Nothobranchius furzeri: one gene and its partners. The protein of the gene in region 4 binds, or shares a complex with, the protein of the main gene of each other region. Links are inferred from orthologs where the notes say so. Each region holds a gene or a part of one and is shown on either strand. Other genes may lie near its edges. The genes, in order: gpkow, sf3b2, gemin2, snrpg, prpf31, txnl4a and lsm6.

Evidence for each region.
Region 1: snrpg (region 4) and gpkow share a complex: the UniProt entries of both Homo sapiens proteins name them as parts of the minor spliceosome. The link is inferred for Nothobranchius furzeri from reciprocal best matches to the Homo sapiens genes SNRPG and GPKOW.
Region 2: snrpg (region 4) and sf3b2 share a complex: the UniProt entries of both Homo sapiens proteins name them as parts of the minor spliceosome. The link is inferred for Nothobranchius furzeri from reciprocal best matches to the Homo sapiens genes SNRPG and SF3B2.
Region 3: snrpg (region 4) and gemin2 share a complex: the UniProt entries of both Homo sapiens proteins name them as parts of the SMN-Sm complex. The link is inferred for Nothobranchius furzeri from reciprocal best matches to the Homo sapiens genes SNRPG and GEMIN2.
Region 5: snrpg (region 4) and prpf31 share a complex: the UniProt entries of both Homo sapiens proteins name them as parts of the U4/U6-U5 tri-snRNP complex. The link is inferred for Nothobranchius furzeri from reciprocal best matches to the Homo sapiens genes SNRPG and PRPF31.
Region 6: snrpg (region 4) and txnl4a share a complex: the UniProt entries of both Homo sapiens proteins name them as parts of the U4/U6-U5 tri-snRNP complex. The link is inferred for Nothobranchius furzeri from reciprocal best matches to the Homo sapiens genes SNRPG and TXNL4A.
Region 7: snrpg (region 4) and lsm6 share a complex: the UniProt entries of both Homo sapiens proteins name them as parts of the U4/U6-U5 tri-snRNP complex. The link is inferred for Nothobranchius furzeri from reciprocal best matches to the Homo sapiens genes SNRPG and LSM6.

Annotation. Positions count from the first base shown.
Region 1 is NC_091755.1:41,971,939-41,976,113, forward strand, and holds the start of gpkow (G-patch domain and KOW motifs-containing protein), read right to left. Parts: upstream 2,801-4,175; 5' UTR 2,590-2,800; coding exon 2,294-2,589; intron 2,137-2,293; coding exon 1,976-2,136; intron 1,747-1,975; coding exon 1,601-1,746; intron 1-1,600. Other genes in the region: membrane-associated guanylate kinase, WW and PDZ domain-containing protein 3, read left to right, coding at 3,733-3,815. UniProt on the Homo sapiens protein: RNA-binding protein involved in pre-mRNA splicing. As a component of the minor spliceosome, involved in the splicing of U12-type introns in pre-mRNAs.
Region 2 is NC_091742.1:75,394,453-75,398,681, forward strand, and holds the start of sf3b2 (splicing factor 3B subunit 2), read right to left. Parts: upstream 2,801-4,229; 5' UTR 2,758-2,800; coding exon 2,628-2,757; intron 2,234-2,627; coding exon 2,187-2,233; intron 2,066-2,186; coding exon 2,015-2,065; intron 1,688-2,014; coding exon 1,457-1,687; intron 961-1,456; coding exon 891-960; intron 798-890; coding exon 700-797; intron 1-699. UniProt on the Homo sapiens protein: Component of the 17S U2 SnRNP complex of the spliceosome, a large ribonucleoprotein complex that removes introns from transcribed pre-mRNAs.
Region 3 is NC_091758.1:40,480,325-40,484,403, forward strand, and holds the start of gemin2 (gem-associated protein 2), read right to left. Parts: upstream 2,801-4,079; 5' UTR 2,680-2,800; coding exon 2,558-2,679; intron 2,481-2,557; coding exon 2,399-2,480; intron 2,301-2,398; coding exon 2,211-2,300; intron 2,105-2,210; coding exon 2,018-2,104; intron 1,860-2,017; coding exon 1,743-1,859; intron 1,501-1,742; coding exon 1,456-1,500; intron 1,385-1,455; coding exon 1,316-1,384; intron 1-1,315. UniProt on the Homo sapiens protein: The SMN complex catalyzes the assembly of small nuclear ribonucleoproteins (snRNPs), the building blocks of the spliceosome, and thereby plays an important role in the splicing of cellular pre-mRNAs.
Region 4 is NC_091755.1:44,511,917-44,516,195, forward strand, and holds the start of snrpg (small nuclear ribonucleoprotein G), read left to right. Parts: upstream 1-1,479; 5' UTR 1,480-1,600; coding exon 1,601-1,632; intron 1,633-1,808; coding exon 1,809-1,831; intron 1,832-4,279. UniProt on the Homo sapiens protein: Plays a role in pre-mRNA splicing as a core component of the spliceosomal U1, U2, U4 and U5 small nuclear ribonucleoproteins (snRNPs), the building blocks of the spliceosome.
Region 5 is NC_091745.1:76,602,936-76,605,408, forward strand, and holds the end of prpf31 (U4/U6 small nuclear ribonucleoprotein Prp31), read right to left. Parts: intron 1,117-2,473; coding exon 988-1,116; intron 901-987; coding exon 802-900; intron 727-801; coding exon 613-726; 3' UTR 501-612; downstream 1-500. UniProt on the Homo sapiens protein: Involved in pre-mRNA splicing as component of the spliceosome. Required for the assembly of the U4/U5/U6 tri-snRNP complex, one of the building blocks of the spliceosome.
Region 6 is NC_091751.1:22,094,955-22,097,982, reverse strand, and holds txnl4a (thioredoxin-like protein 4A), read right to left. Parts: upstream 1,786-3,028; 5' UTR 1,641-1,785; intron 1,459-1,640; 5' UTR 1,431-1,458; coding exon 1,278-1,430; intron 1,152-1,277; coding exon 1,048-1,151; intron 962-1,047; coding exon 790-961; 3' UTR 501-789; downstream 1-500. UniProt on the Homo sapiens protein: Plays a role in pre-mRNA splicing as component of the U5 snRNP and U4/U6-U5 tri-snRNP complexes that are involved in spliceosome assembly, and as component of the precatalytic spliceosome (spliceosome B complex).
Region 7 is NC_091744.1:10,586,904-10,590,928, forward strand, and holds the start of lsm6 (U6 snRNA-associated Sm-like protein LSm6), read right to left. Parts: upstream 2,801-4,025; 5' UTR 2,712-2,800; exon of another isoform or gene 2,671-2,711; intron 2,651-2,670; exon of another isoform or gene 2,546-2,650; intron 2,301-2,545; 5' UTR 2,289-2,300; coding exon 2,195-2,288; intron 1,382-2,194; coding exon 1,268-1,381; intron 904-1,267; exon of another isoform or gene 789-903; intron 1-788. UniProt on the Homo sapiens protein: Plays a role in pre-mRNA splicing as component of the U4/U6-U5 tri-snRNP complex that is involved in spliceosome assembly, and as component of the precatalytic spliceosome (spliceosome B complex).

The DNA of each region.
Region 1 (4,175 bases), about 2.5 Mb from region 4:
AGTAGCAGACGTTTTGTACTGTCAGGTGTTTTCGTGCCCTCACTGAGGCACCTGTCCAGAAGATTCTATCACAACCTTCCCGTAGCATCCTCAGACAGATAACGAGCTCAGACCGACGGCCTTCCTTCACGTCCGTCAGGAAGTGAAGTTTAAAGATTCGTTTGTTACTGATGAAATTGTCACTGCTGATTTCTTCAACCTGTCAGCTTTTTCTGGATTTAACGTGGTTTTTACAGTTTTCACTGTCAATTACACAACCTAGCCGGTTTTAAGTCAGGCACATCCCCAGGCAGCCCGGCACTGCTGCAGGATTTAATTGTATTTTTATGTTCCTGAATAGCATCTGCTTTAATTAATGCTCTAAAAATTATTTCCACCAAAAATAAGAGTTTGTTTACCAGTTTTGAGCATTTAATACTCGGTCAGTATCCTGATTTGTTTGATTAACTTTAGTGAGACGTCTGGTTTTAACACTGAGCAGTGCACAAGATTAAAATTTAACAGTTAAATTTAGTGTTCAAAAACCGATTCAGCTTCTGAAATTTTGTGCATTTACTGGTGTTACCTGTGACATATTAGCATGAAAATAGGGCGGAAAACATCTAGACATGAAAATCGGCACAGAACATTGGCAACACTAATCGTCCATCAGCTGTCCGTAACCTTTACACGTCGGTATCGGCAACAGAAAAACCATTATCGGTCGAACTTTACTTTTCATGGTTTGCTGCTAACATCACAACCAAACGTCTGTGAGGTGGTACAATCCTTTAACAAGCTGACGAAGATGATGTAAGCATGCCTTTTGATTAGGAATGTGTATTTTTGAAATTCTTGTGATACGATACATATCACGATACAGGGGAGACGATACGATATTTCACGATATATTGCGATACATTCAGTCAGACGTTACAAGCAATTTTTTAACTGAATTTATTGTAAGAATGTTCAATAAACAGTCCAAACTGATACGTAACATGTTTAACATGAGGTATCTGAACCATGATGGAGGGATTTACATTTCAGTGGTGGAAACAAAACCCGCTGCACACTGCTGCCAACTAGCGGGTGCTGATTGAATTGCGCAAAACGAAAATACACAAATGTTTGCATGTAAATTCTTTCAGGAATTAGATACACGGCTTTTGAATATCGATGTAATAATCGCAGGAAAAAATATCACGATATATTGCCACATCGATATTTCCGATACACGGCTTTTGAATATCGATATAATGTTGCTGGGAAAAATATCACGATATATTGCCATATCGATATTTTCTTACATCTCTACTTTTGATGGATATTGGTAGATCCGGGTGTCAGATTGCTGCAGTAGCATGTACACGTGCTTTAAATTAATCATTAAGATAAAGAATAATTTTGCTGTACTTTACTAAACCTTTTAAAGGTTTATTCCATTTGTTTTATAAATCTAAAGGTTCTGGTTTGTTGCATTACTGACTATAACAGATGGCTTGACTTAAGCTGCTCTAACAACAAAATTGTGAATAATTAATTTTTCTATCTTTTCTCATTCGTCTGGTAAACTTTGCATACTCCTAAGTCTCTTACAGCCCGTTCTGTCCCCACTTACAGATTCAGGCCGCAGGTCCACCTTTACATGGTCTCCATCCTCAAAACCCTCAGGGACTTTGTTCTGCATCAACAGAGGGATGGAGAGGTCCAGGCTTCTGTTCGACTCTGCTGCATTCTGCCATTGCTCCAGCTGCCTCCGTGAATCTACAAGCAGAAACACACAACGTCACTGATAAAGATGGTTTTCTTAGTGTTGGGTAGGAAAGTAAAAACTGTCTAATACACACACAAACCGGCCATGGAGCTCGTGCTCTTAATTGTTTTACAGTCTAGCAGGAAGACACTTCCAGGATGGGCTCCGTTTGCGAGGGGGTACACATTTTGACACGCAACCATTCATTGTCCAACTTCTGCATCTTTTTCAACCACAAACCTTCAATGAGTTCTTTGACAGCTTGAGACTCCACCGAGTCTTTGTCTTGGACCGAGCCGCGCGCTGAGCCTCCACTCGGGTCCGCTCGGTCCGGTTTGTGCCAGCGGTTCTTCTGGATCAATGGGATGATGAGCTCTTTGGGCTTCTCGGTTGGCTTTGAACTGCCACGGAAGACAAAAGTTAAATCTTTAAAGTGTCCCGGGTAGATACATTACACACACCACGTAAAAGTGTGGTCAGTCAGATTTAGAGTTCAAACGTCACCACTCCGTTTACAAACCACTGACAGCTTTAGCCTCTAGCTAGCGGTTAGCCTACCTCTGTAACTCATTTCGGTCGATTCCAGTCAGGTAATCCTTCTCGTCGGTCTTGGCTGGAATGCCGCCGGCTGCGGGTTTAAATTTGCTGACAGTTTTTGTGAAACCAAACGATACCGCCGCTGCCTTTTTATCTCCTTGGTTCTCGGCGGCACCTGAACCGTCTCCGTGCGACGCCATGATTGTTTGTGGAAGAAGAACGATGAGGGCGCAGTGCATTCTGGGAGATGGGGTTGCGTTAACGAGCCCGATAACCACTCTAGGCTGCAATTGACTACAGATCCCATCATGCCTCATAATAAGAGTTCTTTAAAGGTCGCAGGCAATCCGAGATTTACTGATTTATTTGTGAAATCCGTTGGTTATTAGTAACTAAATAATATATCAAATCATTTAAAGTAGTTAAACAGACGGTAATTACACTGACACTTGATTTAAAATAGAAAGGTACTGATGTTTAACACTTTCATTGTGAACATGTCTAGACTTGCAGGTCTATTTTTGAAAAGCTGAAACATCGCTCCGTTGAAGCGGTCATCTTGTAAACCCCTATAGTTTATCTGGAGCTTTTTAGTCTCCTGTAATAAAAAGAAACAAGAGCTGAATGAGTTGGATTAATGCGTGGGTCTGACTCCTTTAAATCGCAGATAGTGAAGCGGACTCTGGTGCTGCTGATGCAGGTGTGTTTTAGGCAGAATGTGGGCGGGGCTTTTAACTCCTCCTCCCAGTGCCTCCTGAGCGCCTGAACTTGTGAGGTTAACCTTTTCATTAGCCATGTAGCCTAATGTTGCTGTTTTTTTCTCCGCATTTGCATGTCAGCAGCATGAGCGCAACCTTATTACTATTTCCGCACCTGCTTTTGCGCAACCTCTGAAGTTCAGCGACACCTTTATTTGCTGAACCCGACATTTGTATGATTTTTTGGGGGGTAATTCGGGCTTTTTCTGTATGCATGATGGATAAACGATGAGGCGCAGAGAGTGAACATGGGGGTAAGAAACGCACTGTTCTCTTTGCACAAGTTAAAACCTCCCGTTTGGGTCACAACCATCCACGCCTTCTTGTTTTTTCCTCCTTTCTCCTTTTTGCTCGCAGCAATGTAGCAGCTGCTGAAATTATCTGCGACCGCCGTCAAATCTGCCCGATAGTGTGTGTGTGTGTGTGTGTGTGTTTTATTTTCCTCTCTCTCTCTCTCTCTCCTGCTCTCCCCGCTCTCTCGCTCTCCTCAGCTCCCAGAGCATCACTAGTGTCCAAACATCCCGTCAGCCGTGCGCATCGGCTCTGACTTTCTCCGCTGGCTCCGGCTGATCGCCTTTCATCTCATCTCCTCCAGACTCCAGACTCTTCCTCGCTCCTCCTCCAGCTCCTGCTGTTGCTCCAAACCAAACAGGTCGCGTTATTTATTAAAGTGCTGCTCCTTTTTTAACCTCGGCAGGGTCAATGTATATAGACGCGTTCAAACGGATCCTCTTTGAAAGGCTGAACTGCTTGAAGAGAATGTGTGTGTGTCAGCGGCAAGGCAGGTCAGTATTCAGTCTAAATATGAGAAATCTGAGAATCTGCTTCGTGTGTGTGTGTGTGTGTGTGTGTGTGTGTGTGTGTGTGTGTGTGTGTGTGTTTTGAGAGTTTCTTGATAGCTTTTCTATTTTCTTTATCGGTTTCAATCGCCTTCCTCACAAATTGCCTTAATGAAAACTAAACAGAAGCTCGTGCTCAGTGCACCTGCACCCCCTTTGCCATGAATAATAGACTGATTCAAATACTCTGTGGTTCACAGCCAGGTGTGTGTGCATGCATGTGCATACAGGAGCGTGCACAAGTGCCCTGCAGCCCTCTGTATGTGTGAGAGTGTTTGTTTTGGGTGTGTCCCAGCTCGTTTGGGC
Region 2 (4,229 bases), on a different chromosome or scaffold from region 4:
CTCAATATATAACCATATTTGATAAATATCACGATAAATAACATACAACTGTTTGTATTTTAACGTCGTCCTTGTAGTTTTATAAGCTGATGATTAAACTGAAGCAAACATCTTTACTGTGAACTAAATTTACTGTGTATCTTCATTCCTTTTACCGTCCTTTTTCAATTGATTTTTCCTACTGGGAAGTTAGAATTTCTGAGGAGAAAGCGAACGCACCATTAGCTGATAACAACGGTGGCAATGGAAGCTAACATATCAAGCTAACGTTATCTTAAACAGTTTATTTAACTGCTGGAGCAGATTAAAACGATGATGCCTCACACTTAGATCGTTGTCGCTGGTTTCATCTTCACCCAGTCACCCGTCGCATTTAGTGAAGTGGACCCAAGCTTAAGCGTTCGTTCGTTCTACCATGCTGCTCTGTTTACAACTGGCTCGCAGCGACCGATGACTTAACGCTCTTGCGCATGCGCAGCTGTCTAGGCAAGTTCTCGTTGTGAAGGACGGGTACCGAAACGAGACACCGTTTCAAATTAAGTGAATCGGTGCTCGGTCGGTACTATGGAATTTGGTCGGTACCTTAAAAAGTACCGAATTCGGTACCCATCCCTAAAAGCAGCATGACGATAAAATCTCGTGTTTAAGAGCGTAGGACTTCCATGTGCAACAGGAGAAACTCCGTTTCAGTCTGTTTACCTCTTTGTCTTCTCCTGGAGGGGGGGGCACCCTCTGTTTCTGGGAGGGCAACAACGTGACACCAGGAGGAAGCGGCCCACGAGGATCCAAGATAGAAACTGAAAAAGAGTTTTGAAAAAGTGGTCATTGCTGTAGAAACTGGACTTACATGAAGTTATGTGTTTTTATTTGAAATAACACATTAGACTGACCAATGGGCAAAGACCTGGGCTGCAGCTTGGCCATCTCCTGCTGACGCTCCTGTTCCAGCAGCACAGCAGCCTGGCACACGCAGACGGGGAGACATAAATACAAGGTGAACATGTAGGAAGTGCAGATTAAAGATAAACCCCTGAGTTTAGTTAAAGCTCTGCTCTGGATTGTTGGCTTCTATTCAGCCGATTACCTGCAATTAGACAAGAAGCAGATGTATATCTAACTTGGCCACTAGGTGGGGAAAAGGCTCTTAAAATCATCACTTTGCAAAGTGAAAGGTTCATTCTGTTAGAGCAAACGGGGCCTTCAGCTCCCCTAAATATTAAACGGAACATCTTTGCCTTTTCTGCTGCTCTAGAAGGTCCTGTTCACCTCTTGTTGTAACCAGAATGAGCAAAAATCCACAATTCACAACAGGATTTTGCCTCAACTAACCCAATTAAAAAACTATTTCTGATTTATATTTTGTTGTTTCAGCGTCCCACAATCTCCCAAATGCATAATATTCTTAGCGTGTAGTGTTCTAAACCAACAACGGAACATGATGGTCTGAGGGCTTCACCTGTTTGGCTCGTTCCTCCTGTTGGAGAACCATGGCCGCCCTGTGCTGAGCCATCTTCAGCTGGTCGTCCTGCGTCAGCGCTGGAGGCAGCAGGGGTCCGTGCTCCATTCCTAAGGGTAAACCAGGAGGAGGAGGACCTCCAGCGGGCATCATGCCCATAGGCTGGAGCATTCCGATGCCAGGGGGCATTGGAGGCATGGGTAATGGGGGAAGAGAAGGTAACCCTGGCATCTGGAGGAAGAAGGAAGTAAATTAAAGGCAAACACCCACTGAGCCATGAGCTTAACTGAACCTCAGTTTTCACAAGTTTCATTTGTTTGTTTTGTGATAATGTGGTTAAACAATTAAATCTAGTCTCTCATCCACCTGTGTTGTTAAAATCTATACAGTGCAGTGATCACCATGGCGACTCTTGGTTTTATTTACTGCGTTTTTTGATGGTTGCCAGAAATATTGTGATAACACAAGAAGACATTTATGAAAAAAAACTCTAAGACCAACAGAAAAGTGTATCAGTACATTAAACAGTGACGTCACAACAATCTGATCAGTCCTTACCTGGACGCCCATTGGGTTGTCTTCATTTGGTTTGCTGAGGATAATTCCTGTCTGTAGGACAAAAACAAACGGGCAGATCCAGTAGATAAATTAGTACTAAAACAAGTTTCTTTAGGAAACAAATCGTGATGAGGAAGTGGAAAAACCAGAATCACATTTCTAAAGCGTTTACCTGCATCATGTAGCCCTTCAGTCTGTCAATCAGCTCCTCTCTGGGACCTGGATGAGAGAAAATAACTGTTAGACAACAAGGAAGTGATTCCAGGAGCGCAAGACAAATTCGAAGTTTTACTGATTCAATAAGATACAAACAGAACGCTACACTGCGTAAATGCAAAGACTTACGCTCAAAGTTAGCAAAATAAGCTAAACGTAAGATAAATACGTTTAAATAGAAGACCCAAACCAATCAAACGTTTAGCTGTTGCTTTAAACGTCACAAATCACGCAGGTAGATTCACTATGTTGTGCTCTAGTGAATGTAAACACACGTAGAGTCTGTAGTTGGCCTACTTTAATAATGCGTTACCAAACTGCTAGCTAAAGTTAACGGAAGGCTAATACCTGGTAGCTAAATTCATTGTTCGATGAGTGCCCTCCAAGTATTTCTTACCCATATTTGGTGCGCCCAGGTCAGCCAGCTTGGCTTGAAGCTCCGGATTGCTCCATGTGTTTAAAGCTGCGATTGCACCTCCTAAATCAGGCGAAAGAGAATCGCTACCCGTTACTCCGTCGGATGCCATGTTGAGCTTCTCTCAATGGAACAACGGCGGCAGCGGAAACAACGCGAGAGTGAGAAGAAGATTGGACCAATGCATTGTGGGAAACGTGCCACAACGTTAAAAAAAAAATTCTTTTAAATTGAACTTTTTCATTTACAATTAACATGGCATAAATTCCTTTGTTTTACATTACCCGGGATCAGGTGCAAAAAATAACAAAAGAGACTTTGCATAGAACGCAAGAATATTTGTGAACGAAACGAACAAACAGAAAAAAATAAATAAATAAAAAAGAGACAAAGAGCTAGGGCTTTGTTTTCAAATCATACTTTTCAAAAAGATTAAGGAGTTTCATTGCATGTTTACTTTTCATAAACTTAAGGGCTTTGGAGAAAGAAAGACACTCGTTATGAAATGCATAGAATCTGGCTTCACATTTCCATATCTACATTTGTGAATGTAAAATTTAGCTACAACGATTATGTTATTTACCAGAAAGTCCCATTCAGTGTTATCTAATATGGCACCGTAAATGACATCGTTCTCAGAAAAGGGTTCAATAGGTATCTTTGTGTATAGCCAGTCATGGATATCATTCCAGAGAGCTTCAGAGAAAATGCAGTAAAATAATAAATGAACAGAGGTTTCTTTATCATCACACCATACACACTTATTTGTTTCGAAACCACATCTCTGTCGTAAGAATTCCCCAGATGGGTGTACGTCATTTAAAACCCATGCCCAACTAAAAAACGTGTGCTGGAAGTTGGTTCATGTGGCCACGGGATGTCAGTGTTGGCACAAGAGAATTTATTAACAAAAGCGAAACTTTTTAGTTTCATTTTTGAAATTTGGTTCACGAATTACAAAATTTAAAAGTAAAATGTAATCAAAGTACAGCTTTTTTTCTTAATGGTCATCTTGCACCAAGAAGGTTGCTGGCTTAAATCTCAGCTGTGCGCATTAGATGTGGAGTTTTAATTGTCGTATTGTGCATGCACTTGAGCAATACTTTGTCAAGAAGACACGAACCTGGTGCCCAAGTGCTGGTGAGCAAACTGCCTCTCCTCCCCTTTCGGTCAGCTCATAGGTCCCCGGAGCATAGAAAAAAACGAATACAAGTGAACAAGGCTATAAAATCTATTTTCTAATCTGCTTTGCCTTACGCCCTGAAATGCACATTTTTGTACTTCAATTCAAATGAAAAGTATTTATGTGTGTTTCTGTGTCTTTCAAATATTTTGAGATGTATTAGCTTGTAAAAATTTGTAATTAAAACAGACTACAAATCAGATGTTGCATATATGATGTCACCCCAAAATCTCTTCGCCCACAGCGTAGGTGCTACATAACACATGGTCAGATTTATAGTGCTTTTATCCATGCATAATGCTCATTTAATGCTCCACCATTGGAAATCATGGTAAACAAAAGACGTTTGAATCTAGAAATAGTGACTGGGTGTTTGGCGCTCTCTTGTTTAATGTGGCAAT
Region 3 (4,079 bases), on a different chromosome or scaffold from region 4:
ATCGGAATATTTAAAGGAATCTTTGCTCGTTCAATAACCAAATTTACACCATTCTGTGTTTCATTTCAAAGAAGAGTCAGGTTTAAAAAGTTAAGAATTTATAACGAACAATTTAAAGATGACAATTTATAACAGCTTTGATATTAAAACTTGGTATTAAAAGCAAACCTGTGTCTGGATGAAAGCTAAAATGAAATGCGTGTGTTGGATGTGTGACTGGAATCTCAGAAGGTTTCTTTCAGAGAGAAACGCGTTCTGGGTGAAAGAGTTTGTTTTGCAGCTAACTAAGTTGTTTCTTAGAGATGACAGCATCAGACGCAATCTGTGTTCTACCTCACCCATCAGGCGACCCTCTGTGTGGATCCGGAGGTCAAGGAAGGATGTTGTCAGCCTCTGGGTACTCGGTCCGGTAGGGAAGGCGCGAGTGGTACCGACTCTCTGGTCCAAGAGTTGCCGCTGGCACACAGGTGTTGAGTTTGCGTCTTAACTCTGAAGGAGTTTTGTGTCAGCTGGTGCAGGTGGCGTTTATTCGGAGCGATTCTATCAGCGTGACAGAACAGCTTAGTGGAGGCTTCGGGCGGCCGACCCTTGTCCTCTGGGACTCTCGTGCCACGGAGAGGTTTTGGTTGGTTCAGAACTGTCAGCTTGAACTGAGGAGTTTTGGGTTTTATTAAAACTCAGAACACGCCCTCTCAGAGATAGAAAGCTTTGGTTATGGAGCAAAGACATGTGAGGTGGTTACCTTTACCCTGAATTCAGTGTCCTGCATGGTGTGTATAAGTGTACATGACCTTCTTTACACTGGTAAACATTACTGATTATCATAAATAATAATTATTAACCAAAGAATAATAATTCATTTCAGTAATTAAATACATTTATAATGAACCGTGATGATTATTTATGAACCTTGTAATAAACAGTGAAAAGAGTTTATTAAAAATGATTATTTTAAATCTTGAAGTGTCCTTCATCTTAGGATGGAACAGCAGACAGATTAAAGGCAGTCAGATTAAAGATGGTTCTAGAAGACTGTGCGTCTCCTGTGATGGATAATCTGTGGACAGAAGTTCAGCCAGGACAGCGTGACCTAGCTGGGGAAGTGTGACCTTTGGGTCACAAATATGGCCATTCATGTCGCTACATGTATGCAGTGTGTAAAACTGTTCCTACGTGCAGATCTGTGCATAAGTTTGTTTGATGAATGAGGGCCCTGGAGTTCTAACAATTTATTTTCGTGCGAAAATTTAAAAAACTATATTTCCACTAGCATTAGATTTGTTGTCAACCAGCTGGAGACGAGAAGCAAACTCACCAGCTGTGGAACAAACTCTCGCTCTTCAAACCAGCTGATCAGAACATCTAACAACATGAGAACTGTGGACTGAGACAAAAATATTAAGACTGTTAAACTGGCTAAAAACAACATGGATGTCATCGTAGACCCCCGTTTACCTGGTTTAGTCTGCTTACGATGCTCAGGAAGGGAGGGAAGCCAATCTAGACCCAAACAAACCATCAGTGAGACTTCACTTCCTTGGTCTCATGAAGGTGCCACAGAATTTTCATGAGTGGCGGATCATCAAAGGATTAAATAAATACACTTTATCTGTTTAGATTGTTTGCTTTTGTGGGAGAAGTAGAATGTGGAAACATCTCAGCTTTGATCGATTTAAATCAGGTAAACTCATTCTGAGGAGTAAGCGCTCACAAAGGCAATAAGGTGTAAACAGTTGTATAACCTTGCCGTAGTCCAATGCTGGTTCTTGGTGTGCATCCGTCGGGCCGGATGAAGTTCCCTGATAAACGTTCTCCCCTAAACAAAACCTCTTCCAGCCCTCCTCATCGGTCAGCCTCGGCTGTAAGACACCAGCGTCAAGCTTGCATAAACCAAACCTCCAGTGTGATGCTGCATGACAAGATTCTTACAGGTGCTTCAAATCCACCTTAACATGGGATTTCTGTCTCCCCTTGAAAGAATGCTGATTTCGGTTTGAGTAGTGAATAAAAATCTCACCATCTGCACGTTGTCATCCAGAATTTGGCTCCTCCAGTGTTGCCTGTTCTTGGTGATGCTCTGAGAAACAAAAGTGACTAAAGGACACTGTCCAGTGTGGACATGTTCGTAACGTGTGTTACTGTGTGGACATGTTCGTAACGTGTGTTACTGTGTGGACATGTTCGTAACGTGTGTTACTGTGAAGTCTCACCTGTCTGACGTCAGAGAAGTTACTGACTTGCTGCTGTTGCCACCTGAGGCTGGGGGAGAAGCCCTGAGGAGCAGCATGACATCCTGCTACCTGGAACCAAAACATGTTAAACATGTGGTGTGTGTGTGTGTGTGTGTGTGTGTGTGTGTGTGTGTGTGTGTGTGTGTGTGTGTGTGTGTGTCACTTACCGACACATTAACAGTTTGCTTCTTCAGTTTTGTGGGATCGATCTGAGCAACGACCACCTCCGGGCATAAAGAGGCCTCCAACCTAATGAAACACCAAACTTATAAAGCTCCGTGGTCGAACATGGTTCTGATTCTCGAGACGGTTCGGCTCGAACATACTGGACCTGTCGGAGGTACTCCTGGGGGTTTCTGGGGGTTCCACTCAAGTCCAGGTTTCCGCTCCCGCCTCCGGTCTCCAGCGGCAGGAGCCTCGGCATTAACTCCTCCACGTCCGACTTCATGTTCTAATAAAGTAAAAGAACAGCGGAACCGAATCAGGTAATGAAAAACACGCAAGTTTCACTACAGCACAGTCGCCATCTTCTTCTTCTTCTGGTGTTTTATTGGCGGTTGGCGAACAACGAATGGTGCATTACCGCCACCAACTGGTGTGGAGTGTGGTCTGGAACAGCGCTCATAAAACAAAATCAAACACGGGAAAGAAAGAACAAAAAAATACATATATATACACACACATACATACACATATATATACAAATACATATATACATCAAATTCTCCCAAACATCCTTATCTCTTTTAAAAACTGAAATAAAATCAGAAAACAGTCGCTTTTTGAATTCTGTCGGTCTAGTTTCACTTTGATCTGTCTAAGATTTTGAATCAATGTCCTTCTTCCTGCCTGATACTTCCGACATTGTAATATAACATGAACTATAGTTTCTTCTTCTCCACAATAATCGCATTTCCCTGTATTATGTTTCCCCATCATGAATAACGTATTGTTTAACCCAGTATGTCCAAACCTCAGTCTAGAAATGATCACCGCCTCTCTCCTACTCCTTCCAGTGTTTCTTATTTCTCCTACTCTTCTTTGAATTTTATACAACCATCTTCCCCTCCTTTCCTCCTCCCATTGTTTTTGCCATTTTTTCTTCATTTCTCGCCTTTTTATGCTCTTCATCTCTTTCTGACAAAATCGAACATCTAACTGAACCGAAGTATTTATTGTAGCTTCCTTAGCCATCTTATCGACTCCTTCATTTCCACTGATTCCACAACGAGCTGGAATCCATAAAAAATGTACTTTAAGTCCCATCGTGTTTATTCTATAAAGTGTTTGCTGAATCTCTAGGAGTATGTCTGGTCTGCTTCCTGAATGGCTGCACGTTAAACTGGTTAATGATGAGCTGGAGTCTGAACAAATAACTGAGAATAATGGTCTGTTTTCTTCCACCCATCGAACTGCTAACAGGATTGCGAGAATCTGTATAAATTTTTACATAGTTATAATAGTGATCGATATAATCCTGTGCTGTATGTGAGTTTAGTATGAAAGACTTATCCATATTCTTTCTCTCTAATAATGATAAATCAACAGACGCCTCAGGAAGAATCCATGGCGGAACAGCAGGTAATGGAACTCTTTGACTGATTGTAAACCGATCTCATTTAAGTTCTACTGGTTTTTTGATCATCACCCATCCAAAACTTGTTGTTTCCTTCTTTTCTTTCTCCCAGCAAGGTTTTGGTATGTCTCGTGTTGGATGATCTTCTTCCTGACCCTGAAGATTTGCCCAATAATTTAAAGCTATTCGTTCTCGTCTGATTGCTATTGGCATCTCACCCGTCTCTACCTGTAACGCTGCTATTGGGGTTGTTTTAAATGCTCCAGTACAGA
Region 4 (4,279 bases):
GAGTTTTATTCCATTTACTCCATGTGTATCCATCCATGACGTCAGTTCAGTTGAGGTGTGGTATAATGCCAGGCTAATTGGCAGCATGGTTTAGTAGTGTGGTACTTGCAACAGCAGTACCTTGGTTTGACCACCAGAGGTCCCTGGAGATCATATAATTTGTCAGTGCCTCTGAGGCTGGAAGTCACAATATTTACTCTGTGTTACCCTTGAATGTGCATCATTTGGGAATATATTTGTTTTTGCTTAGTCTTAAACGTTGGCATATTTACTTCACCATTTGTACAATCCTTTTACATCATTCTTTGTATTTATTTTCCAGACCACACGGAACCACAGAAATGTACAGATGTCCATACTTCAACTGTCATTAAATACGTAAAACTGTCTCTCCGTGCCCTGCTCTCTGACCGGAGCCCTTATCTTGAAGATACTGTCAGATCAGCAAATAACTTCCAGAGTTCCCACTCTATCACATTGTTACTGGTCAGAATAAAGGTAGTGATGTCATTGTTACTGGTCAGAATAAAGGTAGTGATGTCATTGTTACTGGTCAGAATAAAGGTAGTGATGTCATTGTTACTGGTCGGAATAAAGGTAGTGATGTCATTGTTGGCGTCAGGCACTATTCCGGAAGGGCAAACAGGTTTTTGACCGCTGTGGCATGAAGACGTTTGAATGGGAAAGTAATCGGATTACTCCTATCATTGTTACATCCTGGAATGCAATCAACATTAAACAAGAAGCATTATCATAACAACTCCACGCTTAAGGCTGTTCAAGTAATTTAGTCAACATCGGATCAACACAGAGCGTCAACCAGGTCCCGGTCTAGCAGCCTCAGGAGTTCGAGTAATGGACTTGACTTCTACAGTTGCCTTCTTGAAATCACAATCTGGTTTTATTGTGTTCTTAGATATTGGTTGTGGGCTTCCATGAGTTTTCATAGTCAAACTTGGTTTCACTGAATTTTATTTGTTGTTTTTTACTTTGTCAAAAATAGCTCTTCTTCCTGTTATCTGTTGAATCTGCTTAATTTTAACTATACTTTTTAACTTGATGAGAATTTACAGAAATGAAAGAATAACTTTAAAGATTAGGTTAAATTGTGTAAATTATACAAACTGCACAACAGATTTCCATCCTGGAAAAGAAGAGAACGAAGTTGAGCTGACACTGCTGGGAGCTAGGGACTCCGGTCTGACAGGTAAAAATCAGGCAGCACAATGCATCTCTGTCGTTCAACAGCAAAATAAATGGTCAACTGAATACAAACAATAAGGTAGAAGGAACATAAAATATGCACTTATTAACATCGTTTTACATTTCAAATACATTTCAGTATAATATGTAATACTTACGTTTACTTTTGCTTTTTTGTAAGATTGACAATAAAATTGTAAAAGTTGTTTGAAACAAAGTGTTCTTGCAGATATTTGCAGATCCAACCCTAACACGTTCTCCTCCCCGCCTCGAGGGGGCGTAGTGGGACTGTAAACGCTAACTGCTTCACTTCCGGTCACATTTTCCTTCCGCGGTTTTGTTCAACGTAACCCCGACGAGCTAGCTCACCGGACTTCGGTACAAAAAACGATACAGAATGAGCAAAGCACACCCGCCAGAGCTGAAGAAGTAAGTTCACGTGTTTAAAAATAACAATTAGAAATTATTAATTTTGTTTCCACGATTTTAACGGAAAGAACGTGTTAGCCTGTTAGCTTTGCTCCATTCTTTACCATGAGGCTAACATTAGCAACCCTGCCTGAACTGTGAACCACCGTCGCCTGAAATGTTGTTTTATGTTTCAGATTCATGGATAAAAAGCTTTCATGTGAGTATGGCGTTTTACGAATATGTCTTTAAAGCCCCTATTGTGATTATGAAGAGTTTATAGTTTTAAGGTGCTAAAACATTAAAACCACGTGACGGAATAATAATCGATTGCATTTGTGTTGCGCTTTACATCACGACAATCTCAACGCGTTTAGAGGAAAGGAAAATGTTGATTATGAAAGATGAAAAGCTTTACTATAAAAGATCTACTAGAGAGAAACGTTTTCAGTCCTTCTTAAAAGCCGCTTGTAGGTTGGGGTGTGCTTAAACTCTCAGGGTAGGGTTAAAGGTTAGAGGGTGGAGGGCATTGTCCTCCGTGGTGCTCAGCCTGGTCTGGGTCTATGAAGCAAGTCTGACAAAAACCAGCAGATTTAAAATCCATCTAAGTCAAATCAAAAGGCTGAGAAGGGTTGGGAACACCAGAGCAGAAGGTGCAGCACGAGGAGCAACGACTGACAGGAAGATGAATAAAGAGACCAGAGATGGGGCACATCTGAGCTCGCGGGGAAGCTGATTTCATCTGTGTGCAGCATCACCCTGCTTGGTTCTGACCCGGTGCAGCTCAGGTCTGAATCAGTTATGAGTCTTTGTCCTTTAGCTCTAAACTGTAATTCTATCTGTGTGTGTTGTAGTTAGTGTTTTATCATGTCCTGGTGACTGTAAAGCACATAGGATTGCCTCTGTGTTTGAAACGTGCTCGAGACATAAAGCTGCCTTGTCTTCGTTCCTCTGGAGCCGAGCTGAGCAGTAACGTCCATCCTAACCTTCTGATTCCCAAAGACGATAACTTCAGTCTCGTCTTTGTTAAACTGGAGGAAGTTAGACTGCATCCGGTCGTTTGCTTGCCTCAAACACTGACAGAGTGAGTCTAGGGATAGGCAATTGTGAGTATACACATGCGCAATAATAAATATATTTCTTTGATAACTTTTAAGAGATCATTCTGTTGGTGTAAAATCATTTTTTAGGCATGTCAGCTAATGTTTGGTTAGATTTTAAATGTTTGTATTTACTTTTGTTTATTTAGCTGCATAATTGGGGTAAATAGCTTGGTTTGCAGGGGTTCTGTGAAGATTGTGCAGGGTTTTTCCTGCATTCAAATTAGAGCTGAGGAAAATAATCGATGCATCGGGATGCGGACATAAATCGTAGAAGAGTACGCCGTAATCGATTATAGTGGAATGTAGTTTTGTTTTTTTAACGGCGGCACCAGCATCTGTCAGAGTGAGCGTCCTCCACATTTACCACGTGGTTCCGCCTTGATGTGGTACTGCATTGCTGAGCGCTAGAGTTGTAACCTGAGCCGGAACCAAATCAGCCCGACCGGTTCTGTTGGATTTGGGCCGTGAATTATGTTAATTGAGCGGGTTGTCATGTGGCGCGCTCCGCTCGATCAGAGAGAGAGACTGTCTACTCACACGAGAGGATCGCAGGACGCTCCTCTAAACCGATGCTCCAAACACGCGTTATTGTTTTCATAATTTCTCCTGGAAGCGCTCAGTCAGACTTAGGGATGGGTACCTTTGACATTTGAATCGATCCGGTACTAATTCCCGGTACCTAGGAATCGATACCGGTACTTAACGGTATCAATTTTAGATACTTTTGAGTGTTTATTATTTTAATTCTCTTTTATAATTAAATATATATTTTTCTCAATATATAACCATATTTGATAAATATCACGATAAAAAACATACAACTGTTTGTATTTTAACATGGTCCTTGTAGTTTTATAAGCTGATAATTAAACTGAAGCAAACGTCTTTACTGTGAACTAAATTTACTGTGTATCTTCATTCCTTTTGCCGTCTTTTTCATTTGATTTTTCCTACTGGGAAGTTAGAATTTCCGAGGAGAAAGCGAACGCACCATTAGCTGATAACAATAGTAGCAATGGAAGCTAACATACCAAGCTAACGTTATCTTTAACAGTTTATTTAGCTGCTGGAGCAGATTAAAACGATGATGCCTCACACTTAGATCGTTGTCGCTGGTTTCATCTTCACCCAATCACCCGTCGCATTTAGTAAAGTGAAGCCAAACTTTAGAGCGCGTTCATGTTATTCCAGTCGGAAATTCGAAGTTCCGAGGAGAAAGCGAACGCACCATTAGCTGATAACAACGGTGGCAATGGAAGCTAACATACCAAGCTAACGTTATCTTAAACAGTTTATTTAGCTGCTGGAGCAGATTAAAACGATGATGCCTCACACTTAGATCGTTGTCGCTGGTTTCATCTTCACCCAATCACCCGTCGCATTTAGTAAAGTGAAGCCAAACTTTAGAGCGCGTTCATGTTATTCCAGTCGGAAATTCGAAGTTCCGAGGAGAAAGCGAACACACCATTAGCGAAACGGAAGCTAACATATCGAGCTAACGTTATCTTAAACATGTTATTTACCTACCGGAGCAGATTAAGATGAGGATGTCTCACTTAGATCGT
Region 5 (2,473 bases), on a different chromosome or scaffold from region 4:
TGGGGTCGTGTTTCCAGACTTTCCTCGGTGGTCCGAACGGGCGGAGTGTTAAACAAAAATCCAACTTTTCCATTTTTAAGTGTAATAGAGGAAAAAAGAACTGCAGATCTGGATGATGTTAAACTCATGTTTCGGATCAATTTTTGATTTTATTTTAAGGAGGAGGTGTTGAAGGGGGGAAAAAGAAGATGCAAAGTTCTGAGATCTGCCTTTAATACATTATATTTTTGGGGCTTTTAAGGTTTTCAGAGAGGAAGGTCAGCTAAGAAGTCGCAAAAATGTGAATTTCAACCGTTTTCTCATCACAGTTCTGCATGGGAGATGTTATAAAATGGGATTATGAAACAGTTGTAAAATTTCAATAAATACTTTTAAGAAATTACACATGGGTGTGTGGTGGTGTAAGGTCTCGCTGCTCCCAGGGGGATTCGCTCTGCTTACAAGGTGGTTAAACCTAACAGGTCAAAGTTCAGGCGTAAGGTTCTAAAGGTGGCACACGCTTTGGGGTTTCTGTGGTTTATTCACATGAAGAAAATGGTAAAAAAATAAAATAAAAGCGAAGCACAATAGGGGCTAATTTAATGTACATGATGATGTCATCACTGAACACGTTCACATCTTAGCATCCTTTTTGACTTTGAGGAACTCCGCCATGTTGGAGAAATATTTCTGGTTGGCTTCAGCCACCTTCTTCTCTGCAGCCTGCGGGTTCACAATCTCCAGGCCCTGCAGATGAATGAATGAATGAATGAATGAAAAGCAGAAAGTAGAGAACTCTTCCACTGATCATCCGGTTCATACCTGGAGCGGAGTGAAAGCGACGCTGGAGCTGGTTCCCGAGGAACGGTCTCTCACTGTGGATTTTCCGCCATAGGTCATGCTCTGCTTCTGTAACGTCCTCTGTTGTGGTTGACAACAGAGAACAAGGTTCAGATCATGGACTATCAATAATCTGGAGGTGGAGATTAAAATAACGACCGAGTTTACCTGCAGCGACTTGGAGATCCTAGCCTTGGTGGCCTCGTTGACTTGAGCCTGCCGGACTCTGCCGCTGCCGCTCTTGCCCAGCTGACCCAGACTGAAGCCCAGATCCTCCTGATAGGCGTCATCTTCAATCTGCAACATCAACGAGCTCAAATCCTTACGGTCAAATAAGCTTTAAAGTCCTAAAGGGGTCGGAGGTGAGGGGGGGCAGAATGACTCGGGGCTGTTGTCCATGATGTTCAACCTCCCAGAAGAGACCGCACAAGTTGCTGTTTGAGGGAACTAAAATTCTCTGTAAATAGCCAGCTAACTAAAGTTAGCATAAACTGGTTTTAATACATATGTTGTGCTCTCTAGAGACGAATGCTTTGCGAGTCGTTTTCAGCTCTTGGCGCTACCGTTTCAGGAAGAAGTTAGCCCGAGGAGTGAGGGATGGAAAATGACGAGATTCAAAGTCTTCCTCGTTAACGATGATGTCTTACTCCCACAAATAAGTCTGATCGTGTTCTGCCATGTTGTGAGGTCACTAATGCTAACGGGGAAATGCTCAGATTAGAAAATTCCTGACAGATCAACGTCACACCGTTGCTCAACATTCATGGAGTCATCTTAACTCGCAACGGGGAGGGCTGTTGTTGGTTTAGCGTCAAGGAAACAGCAGAGAACGTCTCAGCTAGGGGACGCTAACTGTTAGCATTAACAACTTCACCACACAGCAGAACTCCTCCAGGCTTGTGTTATTTGTGGAGATAAAACATCAACGTTGAAGTTTCAGTAGAAACGTCATGTTGCTGTTAGCCAATCAAAAGGCGAGATGTTTGAACATCATTAATATTAATGAGCAAGATAGAATTCCCGCTATTTTCTGCCTCCTTTCCTCCCAACAAACTTCTACCTCACGAAACGGGAGCGCCAGAACTTTTTATTACCACAAGCATTAATTCACACTTGAGACCACAGCAGAGTTAAAGAAACAATGAGAGAACGACTCATTTAAGAGATACAAGTATAAAAACATTTAGGATGCTTAAAGAACCCCAGATCAAAGTCACTTTTGAAAGAATAAAGTTGAGTAGTTAAAGAGCAAGTCACCCCCTACCAGAGTATTACTCAACTCCCACTTCCTGTTTGAAAAATGCAACAAATGCTGTTTCCTAGCAGAGCGAGAGGGCGGAGCCGCTAGGAAACACACACACACAGGCTCACAACGACACTATGGTACCAGCTAACGTTCTAGGGTACCTCTTAGCCAATAGCGATGGCAGATTTAAATTCAAATGCAGTGCAGAGTTTTTACCTGACAACGGCACAACACTGACAGTTTTAGGCTGGGGACAAACCGGCCGCCGAAGCGCTCACGAAATTCGGCCGCAGCTCACTGCTCCTCAGTTCAGACCAGCCGCTTGTTTCTCCGCTCTGGTCGAGGCGCGCCTCGTAGTTTTTCTTTTAACCACTTAGTGTCCTCCATTTCCTCTCCGCCTTTTCCTCT
Region 6 (3,028 bases), on a different chromosome or scaffold from region 4:
AGATTCCAGGTATGTCATTAAAATGGTATGATTTCCAACATTATGCACAGATTCGTTTTATTTAAAATACTTAACATTTTAAAAAGCCTGTCTACTATCTTATTTTGCATAACCATAATTAAATAAGATCATATATTCATTATATTTATAAACTTATAGCCATATTTTTTAGCCAGTCATTAAAAGCCTTCTAGAATTAAGAGTATTAACAACAGAAAAGCAGGATTTTAAGTTTTACACTCATAAATCTATCAGTCTTATACTTAATGATGTGGTGGAACAGCTTGTACTCATGATAAACATGTTTATTTTATAGGCCTTAGAAGTACTAGATAGACTGGCTCTGTCCAGGGTGAACCCCGCCTGGTTGCCCAGTGACAGCTGGAGATAGGCACCAGCCCCCCGCGACCCTACATGGACAAGCAGGTTCAGAATATATATATATATATATATATATATATATATATATATAAAATAAATTAAAACACTACATTTAAATCTTAAGTAAAAGTTTTTTATTAAAACAGTTACAAGTTGTACAATATTACCGATGTGTTCCACACTGACATATTTCACAGAAATAAGCCTTAAAAAACACAAAACTTAATATTTATGAAGCTACGTTTGCAAAAACAAAAAGTGACATTAAACCCACCATTATCAACAATGTCCTGTTTTACTACCAAAGGTAAACACGCTGAAGAATATTCCTGAACCTTTTGTGTTTTTTGTCTCTTCATTTTGTCAAATGAAAAAATAATAAACTGAACAAAGGAGGATGAAAAAAAATCAGTATCTGTATTTTGTAGAGTAATCCTTGGGAGACACCACCAAACCTCTTCCTTTCCTTGCTCCTCGATACACAGTTTCAACAATATCTATCATCTCCTGTTTGTCCTCGATTATCCAGTTGATCTTGTTATTGTTACCGGTGCCCAAATCAATCATGATGTGTTTGTTCCTGGAAGAGAAAGACAAAAATATCACCTTAAAATATGTTTACTCAGCTGCCCTGTCTATTGCAACATGTGGAACTGGAAGAGCTACCTGAAAAAGAACATGACAGTGCAGGGGTCGTACAACTCGTACATCTTATTGAAATCAGGCACTTCTGTGATGTCCACGAGGTAAATGACAGCAAAGTTCTTCACCTGTAAATAAACAAACCAAGAATGAATTAAACATGGCATTTGGAGCACGCCAGCAGGTAATGTGACGCGACTCCTGAATCTGAGCCAACCGGACTTTATATAATAAAGACAGGAAACAAATCAAACCTTTTCAGCGATGCTGTAAAGAACCTCGTCCATCTTCATACATGTTGGGTCCCAGTCGTGTCCGAAGCGGATGACGAGGACTCGGTCCTCCTCAGACAGGATGGCTTGGTCGACCTGCCATCCATTGTGGAGATGCGGTAACATGTACGACATCTTGACTCAAAAATGAGCAAATTCTAACCTGAAATGGATCAAATAAAGAGTTCAAATCGATCACAGCTGAACATTAAATTAAACAAACATCTCTGAGTACCAGAGAACGGTTTGACCGGCAACAGCTAGCTAGCTAGTTAGCGTTAACCATGGATACAATCTGAAAGACACAATTATGAAACTTCCCACTAAATATTCTGAAACACTTACCCCAAAATATAAAATAGAGTATTTAAGTGGCGGGAAGAAAACGGACTAACTATAGATAAAGCAGCTATGTTCAATGTGACTTCTTTTAAACCCCACGGAAAACAAACGCTTCACGACGTCATCAAATCAGCGACGCAGGAGACGCGTTAAATTTACGTCATAGTCGCTCAATTCGAAAAACTCTTTTAAAAAGTCCCAATTTATTTATTTATTATTTTTTAATGTGAAAGCCGCACACAAAAAATAAAAATTTTAAATAATTAATTATTTGAAATAATTACTTTTCACTCCAGCAAGTACTTTTAAAATAAATATATTTACGTTATGTTTTCCAGCAATATCTTTTTGGATGATCATCTTTTTGGATGATCAACTAGAGAAATACTTCTAGTATTAAATGTATTTCGTATTCATGCATGGAGAACAAACAGATTTTCAAACAGCTCAATAACAAACAGAAATTATGTTTACAGTCTAGATAACATAATTAGAAATTTGCAACATGAATACATTTTTTAGGAAATCTCGGAGCACTCTTTATTTGTAAAGCTTGTTTGCCACACTTCAATTAAAACGTGCACGTGTTGTTTGTGTACTTTACAAAAAAAACTGTTAATATTTGATGCTGTGAAGTATTTCTGATTCTTAACAAGTTCACAAATTTAGAACAATGTGTATATTTGGCACACTTGCTGTAAAATGGATACAGCTTGAAAAATGATTAGTTTGGAGTTTTACTCTGCGTTCAAACTCAAATTCTTCCACAAAAAGAGATTCCAAAGAAAAATTTGTAAAAACCCAACCCTAACTCATCATGCAATGTCAAATACTACGTGTCGTACTTGATTTTTTGCAGGCTTCCTAACACACTTTGTAAATAATAAAATGTAAACCCTTTTCAAGCACTTTAAGATGGAGTTTTTAAATATTTTCCAGCACGTTACACCGGTGTTGCACAGAGACCGTTTATACTTGTTCACAACAATCACGTCACTTTGCTGTCTCATTAAAGGAAACGTCTGCACCATAAAGTCAGTTTCAGTTGTTTTCAAGGACTTATTTAAATGCTGAAGCACTTTTAAAACTTGAAAATACCATTACGAATAAACAAATAAATCATCAATCTTTCAGTCTTACTTAGATTTAGAGACGTTATTTTATTTAAAGTGTGGGTGTACAATTCTAATAGTGGAAAAACACGAAGAAAAAACACTTATTGTGCAATTTACTGCAGTACAATCAAAGAAGAAAAAGATAGTATAAAGGTTAAAGAAAAAACGTTCCAGTCTGACGACATAGCAGCACATTGTGGCACTCCCTAGAGAGAGAGAGTCTAAATGATCATTAGATATGTCTAAAAGTTATATTTTTTTCATTTCATGACTAAT
Region 7 (4,025 bases), on a different chromosome or scaffold from region 4:
AGACACTTTTTCTGCACGTGCTGCAAACAGGATAGCCGTCTTCTATAAACTGTCCCTCGGCATTCTTCAAATATTCAAAAAATGCCCGTACTTCCCACTTTGTTTTCTTTGAGGTATAATAAATGTCCTGCGCGCTGCCGTTTCCTCCTTTGGCCATTATTTCAGCTTTAGCTTCAAGAAAGTTTTGGTTGTAAACAACAAAGTGCGCATGTGCCGCTGGCAACTTCAACAGATGATACGGTGGCTGGTAAGGGTCACCGCGCCTACACCGCAGCCACGGTAAACCACCGAGATAATATAGTTTTTTTAAAAACGGACGGTTATTATTATTGTCAACTTTTTTTTATTTTACCGGGGTTTACTGCTACACCGGTTACCGTGACAACCCTACCTGATCGGTCTGCTTTGATCCATTTTGAAAACTCCGATCAAAACCGATAGGGGCGCTATCGGCCAGTTGGGATCAAATGCCGATCCATCGGTGCATCCCTAGTAGTCAGTCGCAGCTGTATCTGCTCAGTCTAGAGAGGCACCACAAAAATCACACAGGTATCAAAATATTCCCTAACCCTACTTATTAACCCTATTAATGTAGAAGTTTACACTTCCAAAATATTCTATTTAATATTTAAATTCAAACAGCATATTATATTTAAAAATCACCCAAAATTAGTATCACTTTGAGGCAACACAAATCAGTTTCTGCCATCAGAAGCTAAATCAGTACATTTCTAATGTAACATAATGAATTAATTAACAAACGATGCTGTAAAATAGTAGCATTTTACCAGTTTTTTCAAAGCAGCAACAAAGGGGCTCGATGTTTTCATCGGAAGTGAGCTTCCTGTATAACTCCGACATGGTTAGTTTCCCAACTTTAAAAGGGAATATCTTGTGGTTTTCCTATAAAGATAGGTTTGAGGTGCAAAAATGCTTAATGAGAAAATGAAAATAAACATCTTGTGGTGCATGACTTTGAAAGTTTCATTTAAAAATTGTCAACAAATTTAAATCTCTAATCACTTTGGATTGAAAAAAAAAACCTAAACAACTGAAAGATCTATTAGAGCACACAGTGTAATAATGTTGTCTCTGTGAGCTAATAAGAATGAGGCTAGGAAGTTGACTGCACCAAAGACTCAGATCATGGCAAATGTACAGCCTTCATAACCTGGAATGTTTAATCATTAAATATGACTTGGAGCTATAGTAACAGAGGAAAACGGTGTTGTATAACGCCCTGCAGCGTGAAAACATCAAATCTTACCATTATTTCCTCTCAAAAAGGCATCTCCATACTTGTTTTTGAGTTGTCCATTGACATACTCCTCCGTCTGCTCTATTGCGATGTTCATGTAACCATCCAGACAGGCCAAAACACCTGCTCAGAGACAAACACAAACTTCAGATTAAAAATAAACTTACCTGGGCAATAAAACAACAACAGACCTGAACGTGCCAGCTAGGGAAGAGGGGCATACTGTTTTTTATGCATTTTGATGCAAACATAAACCATTACAAATTCATTCAAAAATTATCAAAACAGATTTTAATAATGATCATTATTTAGGTGAGTGTAAAAGGCAGACATCTGAAGTGCAGAAGTGTGGCACATTATGGTGTGCAACTGGGATGGAGTTTGAGTCTTGACTGAAGAAATAAATACATCAAATACTGAAAAACTGAACATTTTAAACTGTAACAAAGATGTCTGAGTAGGAGTGTTGTGTCAAAAAGTGTTCCTCCTCCATGTATCTGTGTAACCTGTGTGAATCTCTCTTTAGCTTGGTAAATGAATTAATATCAACACAAACACAAATAGTTTGTTGAAGATTAAAGCAAAATTTGGTCCTCACGAAACTTTTCAAGTTTATTCCAATTACTCAGCATTTAACTGGAGTTTAACTGCAGTAATTTAACTGTTTTTCAGTTAGTGTTTGTTTCATAGTTTCTAATCCTATATGGGATTACATCATTCAACTTCCTGTCTGCCTGTATAAAGAACTTAACTGTAATGAATTAAAAGATCATTAAAAATTAAAAGTAGTTGTCAGGGGGTCATTGTCTAGAACTAAACATGAGGCAGAAGGCGTAAAAAGATGCATCAATGACTGCTTAACAAACCCTCTGATTCATAACCTAATCAAACTCTGAGAACCCTAAACATTCCCACACCTGATGCCAGCTGCATTACCTCTGTAATCAACACCAGAGTTCAGTTTGACCACGACAGGTCTCCCAATTATCTGCTTCAGAAAGTCACTCGGGGTCTGCTTTCTCAAACTCATTTTCGCTTTTATCTAAAAGAATAAAACAGATGAGTAAATCTCATTTTATCACAATAAAGAACCGCATTAGCATTACCCTAATACACATTTAAGCTATAATTGATTATCTAGTAACAAAGGCATTATTCAAACCCGAGAATATTAAAACGAATAGCTGTAGCCAGATAGTACACGCCTAAATGCAAAACTATGTACGGTTAAAACGTTCAAATTATCAAATGAGCTTCTATGTAGCTAGCGAGCTAAGTGCTAACTACCAGCTATTCCGTGGGTCAGTTCGTTAGCCTCTAATAGCGTAGGAGATTGTTTAACAATAAAGTACAATGTACAGGTATTGTTACATCATAACAGATCCTAATAAGATAGGAAATAGATGTTTTACTAGTTTTACAGATGCGAACACCGAGCTAGCAAGTTACTCACTGGATGAACGATCTCACAACGATTTTATGTTCGGCGCATTGACCAATCACATTGGAGGACTACGGAAACTATGTAGGGACAAATGTCCTGAAAGCGCAAAGTTTTAATTCGATAGACAAAACAAGAATATTTAAAAGTACATTTTAAAAATACGATATACCCATTTCCTTTAACAAGTTATTTTCTATAAATGTATTTCTAATATGTTGTAATTAATATTATATCCACTGGCTTTCATATTATAATATACTAAAGTTTTTTTGTTTTGTTGTGCATTGTTATACTTTGAATAAACTGAAGCATTAGTAATATTTCTATTATGTAACAAATTCATACAGAAAATGAGAAACTACTGTAAATATGTAAAAACATAATATTTCATGTGAATGTCTCATTGTATTATTTTACTATTCTTTTTACAAATTCAAAATTTATCTCAATGTAATGTGGGATATGCACAAATAAGCCTATTCCAATTTCAGGTACATTTTCTTTCTTCTTGATCTGTAAGTGTTCAAACGTTTAAAAGAAAGAAAGAAAGAAAGAAAGAAAGAAAGAAAGAAAGAAAGAAAGAAAGAAAGAAAGAAAGAAAGAAAACAATCTTTTCTGTAGCTCCTCTCAAGACAAAAATCTCAAGGCACTTCACAAAAATATAAAATATAAAAAAGGTTTCAAAAAATGATTTAAAATATGTTCAAAATAAGCAAAAATAGACAATTGTGATTAAAAAGGCAAAGAGAGAGAGAGAAAGAAAGAGAGAGAGAGAGAGAGAGAGAGAGGGAGACAGAGAGAGAGAGAGGGAGAGGGAGAGGGGGAGACAGAGAGAGAGAGAGAGAGAGAGAGAGGGAGGGAGAGGGGGAGACAGAGAGAGAGAGAGAGAGAGAGAGAGAGAGAGAGAGAGAGAGAGAGAGAGAGAGAGAGAGAGAGAGAGAGAGAGAGAGAGAGAGTGAACAGGAAAGAGGGAAATCAGTGAATCTTGGGGAAATGGGAAAATGTGCACAGTATGTACAGTCTATGATGTGCACTTAAAAAAGACATCTTTTCATTCTTATAAACACATCACTTGTAAGTCGCTTTGGACAAAAGCGTCTGCTAAATACATAAACATAAACATAAACATGTGCCTGGTGAAATATTTTCTTATTATAACAAACATTTGTTAACATCACAAAAACTATTGAACCAATGGAAAACTTTTTTGTAGTTGTGAAGAAGTCTATGAATAAAGTGTATGAAAACAAATAATTCTTTTAATTATTCTAACGAGTAACCAACTTCGGGTTTGTAAAAAATATTATAGACACACACACACAC